2 linked regions of the Oryctolagus cuniculus genome follow. The protein of the gene in region 2 purifies or fractionates together with the protein of the main gene of each other region. This does not show direct contact. Links are inferred from orthologs where the notes say so. Each region holds a gene or a part of one and is shown on either strand. Other genes may lie near its edges.

Region 1 (4,142 bases), on a different chromosome or scaffold from region 2:
AAAAAAAAGCAGGGAGCAGCTCAGGCCAGGGGCAGGGCAAGGCCAGAGAGACAAGGAGGAGAAAAGCCAGGGGGCTGGACACAGGAGAGGGGGGCGTGAGTCAGCCCAAGGGCTCCACTGGGCAGCCCAACCCCTCCCCCCACCAGTCTCAGACGTTACCTCATCTCCCAGGCCTGGGCCCACAGCCAGCCCTCGCCCCTCCCGCCTCCCTTCATTCTGGGGTCAGGAGAAGAGGAGGGGGCTGGCCCAACGCTGAAAAAGACCACTTCCATCCACCCACCACCAGGGCCTGGGTCCAACTCCAAGGCTGGGCTTAGCTGCTGGTCCCACCCCTGGGCTGGGGCGGCAGACAGGGGAGCCTGGGCCCACAGTGCCCCCCGCAGGCCACATCTGAAAGATCACTCTCATCAGCAAAGAGGTGAGGCGGAGACCAGTCCGACCAAGTCTCCCAGCCACATGGGGTGGCATTTTCCCAGGGAGGGGGATGCAGGGTAGGTTTCAGGGTGGAGTGTGTGTGTGTGTGTGTGTGTGTGTGTGTGTGTTAGGGACCTGCCTGCCCCAAAACTCTGCAGAAAGATACCGGGGGGCAGAACACTGCCTGCCCCGGCCACCAGGCCAAACCGCCACGAACAGACTCTGCCCTGGGCCTCTCTCAGACTGCCTGGTGCCTGGACAACACTCAGGCCCCTCAGGCTGGGCTTGCCCTGGGCTTCCTGCCAACAGCTGTCTGCCCACCAGGCGGCTGGGTGGGCCTCCCTGCACTGGCGGATGTAGGGGCAGGAAGTCCCCGCCCCCTCCTGACCCCCAGGCCAGAGAGAGAGAGAGAGAGAGGGACTGGCCCAAGTGCTGGCCTCACTGCTCTGGGCGGGTGGTTTCTTTTCTGGGTCCCAGGAGTCACAGCCTGGCCACCAGGGGAGGGGGCTCGGAGGTCCAGGCACAGGCCAGCCCTTTTCAGCTAGGTAGACTCCAGCCACTGTTGGCCATCCCAGCCTGGGGCTGCATTCTTGGGCTTATAAGGCAATCCCCCTGCCATGGGGAGGAGCCAGCCACCAGCTCCGCCCCACCAGGGCAGGCTCTCAGGAATTTGGGTCCCAGCCCTACAGCCTAGCCTCACCACACCTTCGCTCAGGGTCAAAGGCCACTACATCCTAAACCAGGACCAGTTGGATGGAGACACAGGTCCTCTCATTGACTTGGGGACCTGTAAAACCCGCAGGCTGTCCTTGCCCAGTTTCAAATCTCTGCTTTGCCGTGGACAAGCCCTCCACCATTCCAAGTTCCCTCCTTTGGACAAACAGGATGGCAGCTGCTATCCCCTAGGTGGCAGTGAGGCGGTGGTAAGATTCCACAGGGTGCTCTGCCTGGGGCCAGGCTCCCGAGCACTGTTCTCAAGTTTAGATCCTTGCTGAATTCATCAAGCTCCCTCCCACACCAATGGGCCTTCTCCCTTCTGCTCGGCCCCCAGAGGTGACCGCAGAGGCTCGGTGAAGTGGCATCAGGTACAGTGCACAGATATGGGAGTCTGGGGGCTCCACTCCCCTGTCTACCTAGGCAGGGGTCCTGGGAGTAGGCAGCCACCACTTTTCTGGACCTGGACAGACACCTCCTGGCCTGCTGACACCTGGGCCTCCTGCTTAGATTCCCCCTGGAGACCTGAGCAATCAAAGACAACCTTCCCACCCCACCGCCGCTATTCGGAGCCCCTCTCCCAACCAGGCTTACCCGGGAGATGGAGAGGGGCACATTGAAGTCCTTGCCCCCTTGCAGCCGGAAGCCCCACGGTGCTGGACCCTCTAGCAGTACTTTGAAGGAGTCCATGGTGTCGGCTCCTGAGAGGAGAAATGGGAAAGTGAGCGTCCCAGCTGCGGACGCTAGCCTTGAACAGGTGCCAAGCAGGCAAGACAGACACTGAGCGCACCCCAGGCCCGGGTGGGCACGTATCTGGCCAGGCTAGGCTGTGAGGCTGGCTGGCAGACCTCACTTCCAAAAAAAAAAAAAAAAACAGACAAGGGCAGCCCCCCGCCCAGGGCCTGGGAGGGTGAACCTTTCCCAGGCTTAAAGTTCTCGGTATCCACGGGTGGGACTAATTTGGCACGGCTTCCCCCCAAGCCAGCCTGGAGCCTCGGGCAGCGGGGTGAGTCAGGGGCCGGCTCTCGGCTCCCCCGCCCCCAGGTCCCGGCAGGCAGGCCGCGGCTGCAGCCTGCTCGGACTATATAAGGCGTGTAAGCTGATACTGCGCGGAGAGCAGTGGAGGGAGCCACGGGGGCTCCGCGCGAGGGGGAGGGGTACGGGCGCGAGGCGCCTGGAGCGCGTCCTGGCCATTCCAGGGCAGGTCGAGGCTTTTGGGAGCCGGGGCGGGACCCCTTGGGCGCTCTGAGCGGTTGGGGGCAGGAGTGGGACGAGTCTCCAGCGGAGAGCAGTGGGGACCCCAAAACGTGGCCAGGAAGGGGAGCTACGCTGGTGCCTCCCGCACAGGACTGTGCCCGCCCTGCCGTGACTCAGTTTCCCTCCAGCCCCCAGCCCAGGCACCATGCAGCGGCGCAGGCGCCAACCGGCCCCGCCACAAGCGGGCTTCGCCGCAGGAAGGCGGGGGCGGGGGCGGAGGCAGGGGCCGAACCCGCAGGAGCAGGCCCAGCGCCGGCCAAGACCCCCAGTGCGCTCCGTAGTCTTCAGAAGGCCCCCGGCCCCCGCCTGGTTCGGACCAAGAGCCCCGCGCGTCCGCCGGTACCTGCTCTGCCCCGCCGGGGCGCTGCTCCGCGGCGGGCTCCTAGGAGCCGCGCTGGAATCGGATCGGCAGACCGCGTTCTGGCCCCGCCCCCGCGGACACCGCCCGCTTTGAGCCTGTGGAAGGGGGCGGAGTGGGAGACCACGCCCTCCGCGTGTCCACACCCACAGGCGGTCGCTCTGCCGGGGGAGAGCCCCACCCAAGCTTTCCGCCTTGTCCAATCACGAAGCCCCGTCTGGCTCTGAGCACACGGCGCTGCCCGCCCCTTCTCCTTGAGCGGGGCAGGGCCTGGGCGGGGCCTGGCTGCGGGACGCCGCGTCGGGAGGACTTTGCTCCGCCCACGCCTCGCCCCGCCCCCTGCGCCTCCCGCCAGCAGGGGAGAGAGACCTTCGAAGCCAGGCCCCACTGGACGTTAGCCGTGTCCTCGGGAAAATGGGGCGCTAGTGCTCCCCAATTGGGGTTGCCAGAGGGTCGGTATGGGGGCGTCGGGGTGAGGAAGGATGAGAGGGACGAGGAGTGACCGTGCAGCTGCATTTGCCGTGGACAACCTGAGTGGACGAAGCTGGAGGGCGTCCTCGGCTCGGCCTCGCGCCGGTCTCCGGAGCTCGGAGCCCGGCCCCACGCGCAGCGCATGCACCGTGGTGAGCGCCCGGCGCCCACGCTCCTCCGCTTTACAGACATTCTCTCCTGAACCCACGCCCCTCCGCGGCCCCCAGTCCTAGAGGGGCACGCACTGGTCGCTGCGGCCCCGGTTGTTCCTGGTGACCTGTAGCAGTCTCCTAATGGGCCCCTGCTTTCACCCTGGTCCCCTCCGGGGCCTTCTCCAAGGACCAGCTCAACTGATACTGTTAAAGGGAACTCACACTCAGCTTTTAGCATTCCAGTAGGCTCAAAACTAAGCCTTAAGACTCATGTAACTTGGGGGCCACGCTGTGGCATAGCAGATAAAGCCGATATGGGCGCTGGTTCCAGACCTGGCTGCTCCACTTCCGATCCAGCTCTCTGCTATGGCCTGGGAAAGCAGTAGACAATAGCCCAAGTCCTTGGGCCCCTGCACCCACATGGGAGACCCAGAAGAAGCTCCTGGCTCCTGGCTCCTGGCTTCGGGTCGGCCCAGCTCTGGCCGTTGCAGTCATCTGGGGAGTGGACCAGCAGATGGAAGACCTCTCTCTCTCTCTTTCTCTCTGCCTCTCCTTCTCTCTGTGTGTAACTCTGACTTTCAAATAAATAAAGAAGACTCATATAACCGTAGTAAACAGGGCCCATTGCTCGCTCACTCTGCTCTAGCCAGGTGGCCTCCTCACTGTTCCTCCATGTGCCAAGGATGTTCTGGCCTCAGGGCCTTTACACGGATCATTCTGGCTGCTTTCAGTTTGCTCAAGTCTCCGCTGAGATGCTGCCTGCTCTAAGGGGTCTT
Region 2 (3,647 bases):
ACAGAAGCAGCCCCGCTGAGGTTCCCCTGAGGCTGCTAGCCTTCCTTCTCTTCAAGATCACCAGGCCCTTCCCAGGCCCAAGGAAGGCAGAGGAGCTCACACTCACTCAACTACAGACAGGCCTGGAAGAGCCAAGAGGCACAGCCCCGCCCCTGCAAGGTCTCTCCCTGCACTTACCTTTAACCCCGTGGCCCTGAACAAGCTTCCTACCTTGATATGGGAGGCATTAATGTAACCGGTGTTGTTTTCTTTGGTGGGTATCAGCTCTACGCGGTTCTCCTCGTAGGGTACGACTTCGCGGATGCGGCTGCGCTCGGCGTTCTCCGGCAGGGTGGCCGTGCTGAACACGCCGTTCGCTTTCTTCTTTGGAATCTGCTCGTATTCTGTGAACACCATGCCCTCTTCCAGCTTCTTCTTCAGGGTTCTGAACTGCAACAGAAATCAATCTTCGGCTCTCTAAATTATCCCAAACTCCAAACCACCCGCTCTCTTCACGTGTCTACAGTGACAATGATGATACGCGACTTCAAGAAGGGTAATATGTGACTAAATCCCCAGTCTCATTATCAACCATGTTGCTGGTTTCTGTTGCCTGACAGTCATTTCCTGTCTCACTTACAGGGAAAATAGAATAAATCGACAACCAGCAGGACTGGAAATTCAAAGCCAGCATTTTTGCTGCTGATGCCTCTGTGTAAAGACCTGACGATAAGGAGACTGTTAATTACCCAAACACCGTTTTCTCTACTTACACGCTCAGTCGCGTGTTGTCACTGAGCTGAATGTTATGTCGGTACTGGTCCAGAGTCTACAGCTCTGGGGATTACATCCCCTCCTCTTTTTATTTCCCTCCCTGGCTAAACTACTAGATACAAGAATGTGGTATTAACTGAAGTCCCTTCATTCTACTACTGGATGCACACTGGTGGAACTCTAACGTCCTGATGTTACAAGTGATCTTCTGAAATAATTACTACCACTTGTCTCTTAGCCTTCTGACAGCAATCACAGGAACTGAAGGAGCATCTCCCTTCACCCCTAAAAACTCTACCATGCACCCTCTTTTTGCTTTCCAAAACCAAAGTGCTCACAATATATTCTAACAATCATAAATCAGCCACATTCTATAGCCATATAAATGGGAGGATGGCATATTAAACGAATCCTATAAATGTTTTAGATAAAATGATCACTTTATTTTTTATTTGAAAGGCAGAGTTAGAGAGAGAGAGAGAGAAGGAGAGATGGAGAGAAGATGGAGAGGAGAGAAGGAGAGATCTTCCATCCTCTGATTCACTCCTCAAATGGCTGCAAAGGCTGGGGCTGTGCCAAGCTGAAGCCAGAAGCCAGGAGCTTCTTCCTGGTTTCCCATGTGGCTGCAGGGGTCCAAGCACTTGGCCTAGGCACATTAGCAGGTAGCTGGATCAGAATGGGAGCAGCTGGGACTTGAACTGGCACCCATACAGGATGCCAGCAGTGTAGGTGGCAGCCTAACCTGCTGCACCACAGCACCAGCCCCCCTAAAAAATCACTTTTGAAGAAATGGAAGTGGTAACCATTTACAGAAATCAGAAAAATGGAGAGCCACAGCAATTGTTTAACTTTCTCATTTTACAAAAATATTAACAGGTCCAAAGAAACTGAGTGACGTAATCAATACCAGACAGTCTGTGATGGGGCTGGTCTTTTTAGGCAGCTTGAGAAAGTGGGAAGATTTGAACAAAGAAACATTAGATTTCAGACAGGATCAATGTAAAATGACACAGACCAGAGCTCCCTGGACTCAAATTCAAAAATAAATTTATCAGACAAACCTAAGGGCCGGCATGCTTAGGCAAGGAGGGGGCCTTGGGATTCTAAGCCCACAGACAATGAGTCATATGTCTGCGGGGCCCAACACTTACCCGCTCGTCCATGGGAACGCGCGTGCCATCAGCTCGGCTCTCTTCCCGACCTGAGACGCGAGCGACCGAGAGTCCATTCAAGGCGGCCAACATCAGCGGCCTCTTCTGCACTTCCAGGCCTGCTCTCTTCTGCTTTTCTAGATTCTTGCGGCAAGAAAAGGCATGTCCTCATTGTTTAGAATACCAGCGGAAGGTTGGAATGCATTTTAATCTCCCCAAATCTGTAACTCCCCAGCCAAGGAATGCAATCACCATTAGGTGGGAAAATTCAAACCCAGCCTTCCCATTATTCCCACGGTGCCCGAGGAAGCCAGTTCCTACAGGACTGCTGAGGTTTTATTTCTAATTAATTCACTCATTAGGAAATAAATAAAGTTGGAAGGTCTCTACAGAAATACCCTGCCATGGTTGTGTGTGTGTGTGTGTGTGTGTGTGGTTAGAGAGAGAACACACACACACACACACACACACACATCATGTGAACTATATTTTATAAGAAAAGGGCTGAAAGAAGACAGGACAAAGAAAAGAGAAACAGTTAAATGAATCAATCAATCCAGTCCCAATGGTGGACTTTTGCAGACGGGAGACGGAATGTTACCCAATGCGTAAAATCTCCTGTGTGCTGCAGACTCGCCCTGCAGAGCAAAGTCTCCCTGTGTTTCCAACCCCAGCAGCTGGAACTCAGGATGCTCTCCCATAGGTACTCTCTGGACCCTGAGGCAGCCAAGGCTGTTTTCCCCAGAAAGACACTGGAGCCAGGTTGGGGTCATCTGAGCTGTTCCATTCAGGATTACCCTGCCTGCTTCACCCAGTAGATGCAAAGAAATAGACTCAGTGGCTCATAAGAACTATAGGAGGATAACCCTGGACATGGCCATGGGGGGTGACCTGGATGTGGGGGCTGAGCAGGCCACTGAGGGAGGAGTTTTCACGTTCTCGTCTGGCAGTGGCTTGTGGTACTCCATCCCCACCCACACCTGGACTCAACAGGATGAGCTGGGGCACTGGATGTGCCATGCACTGCTGCAGAAACTGAGCCGAGAACCAAGCCCTCTGCACTCATTTCAGGCTCATTAGGAGCATTTCCTTAAAATAAGTTGGTTTAAGGGAAGAACAGAAGCATGTTAGTTTTTACAGAGTGTAAGATTTTGATTCAAACTGAAGCAGACCATGGCAGTCATGTGACTGTCCCAAGTGAAGGGGTCATCTTATCATTTCTCTTCAAGCCTTCAGGGACATTTTCTCTAGATTCTATCATCTGTGAGTGCATTCCCCAGGTGTCCTGATGGAGCCAAGGTGCTAGCAGAGCCCAGAGGGTGGGCAGATTGCTCGGTGAGTGCAGGGGACTGCACTATAATCTCGAATGTGTGTCAGCGTCACCACAATGCCACCTGCTCACCTCCGAAGGAAGTGAACCACAGGGAAGGGAAGAGTACCTGGGTGGCGTTCAGCCAGAAGGTGCAACACCCACCCTTCAGTATGGCCTCCGCTTCTCAATCTCAGGCACCAGCTTGGGGAGGAGTCTAGATTTAAATGTGTGAGTCCTCGTGAGCTTATTAGTCTGTTTTTTTTTTGCAAGAGGATTTTTTCTCATCACCCCTTTTTATTTAGCTGGGAATGTTATCAATCCTCTCCGAAGTTTTGAGAGATCAACTGTTCCTGAAAAAGGGTCCCAAGGGCCTCTCAAAGGTCTTTCTACTTTCTCCCCACTTGCACTAGAAGGTGACCCCAAGGGGGCCC

Evidence for each region. The genes of interacting proteins can lie anywhere in the genome.
Region 1: the proteins of PTPN14 (region 2) and PDLIM7 purify together in Homo sapiens (affinity purification with mass spectrometry; 3 studies listed by BioGRID and IntAct, counting the BioPlex papers as one, with this or other methods). This does not show direct contact. The link is inferred for Oryctolagus cuniculus from reciprocal best matches to the Homo sapiens genes PTPN14 and PDLIM7.

What each region holds. Positions count from the first base shown.
Region 1 is NC_091437.1:63,489,699-63,493,840, forward strand, and holds the start of PDLIM7 (PDZ and LIM domain protein 7), read right to left. Parts: upstream 2,883-4,142; 5' UTR 2,729-2,882; intron 2,187-2,728; exon of another isoform or gene 1,919-2,186; intron 1,830-1,918; 5' UTR 1,819-1,829; coding exon 1,723-1,818; intron 1-1,722. UniProt on the Homo sapiens protein: May function as a scaffold on which the coordinated assembly of proteins can occur. May play a role as an adapter that, via its PDZ domain, localizes LIM-binding proteins to actin filaments of both skeletal muscle and nonmuscle tissues.
Region 2 is NC_091444.1:28,665,250-28,668,896, forward strand, and holds part of PTPN14 (tyrosine-protein phosphatase non-receptor type 14), read right to left. Parts: intron 2,049-3,647; coding exon 1,905-2,048; intron 430-1,904; coding exon 211-429; intron 1-210. UniProt on the Homo sapiens protein: Protein tyrosine phosphatase which may play a role in the regulation of lymphangiogenesis, cell-cell adhesion, cell-matrix adhesion, cell migration, cell growth and also regulates TGF-beta gene expression, thereby modulating epithelial-mesenchymal transition.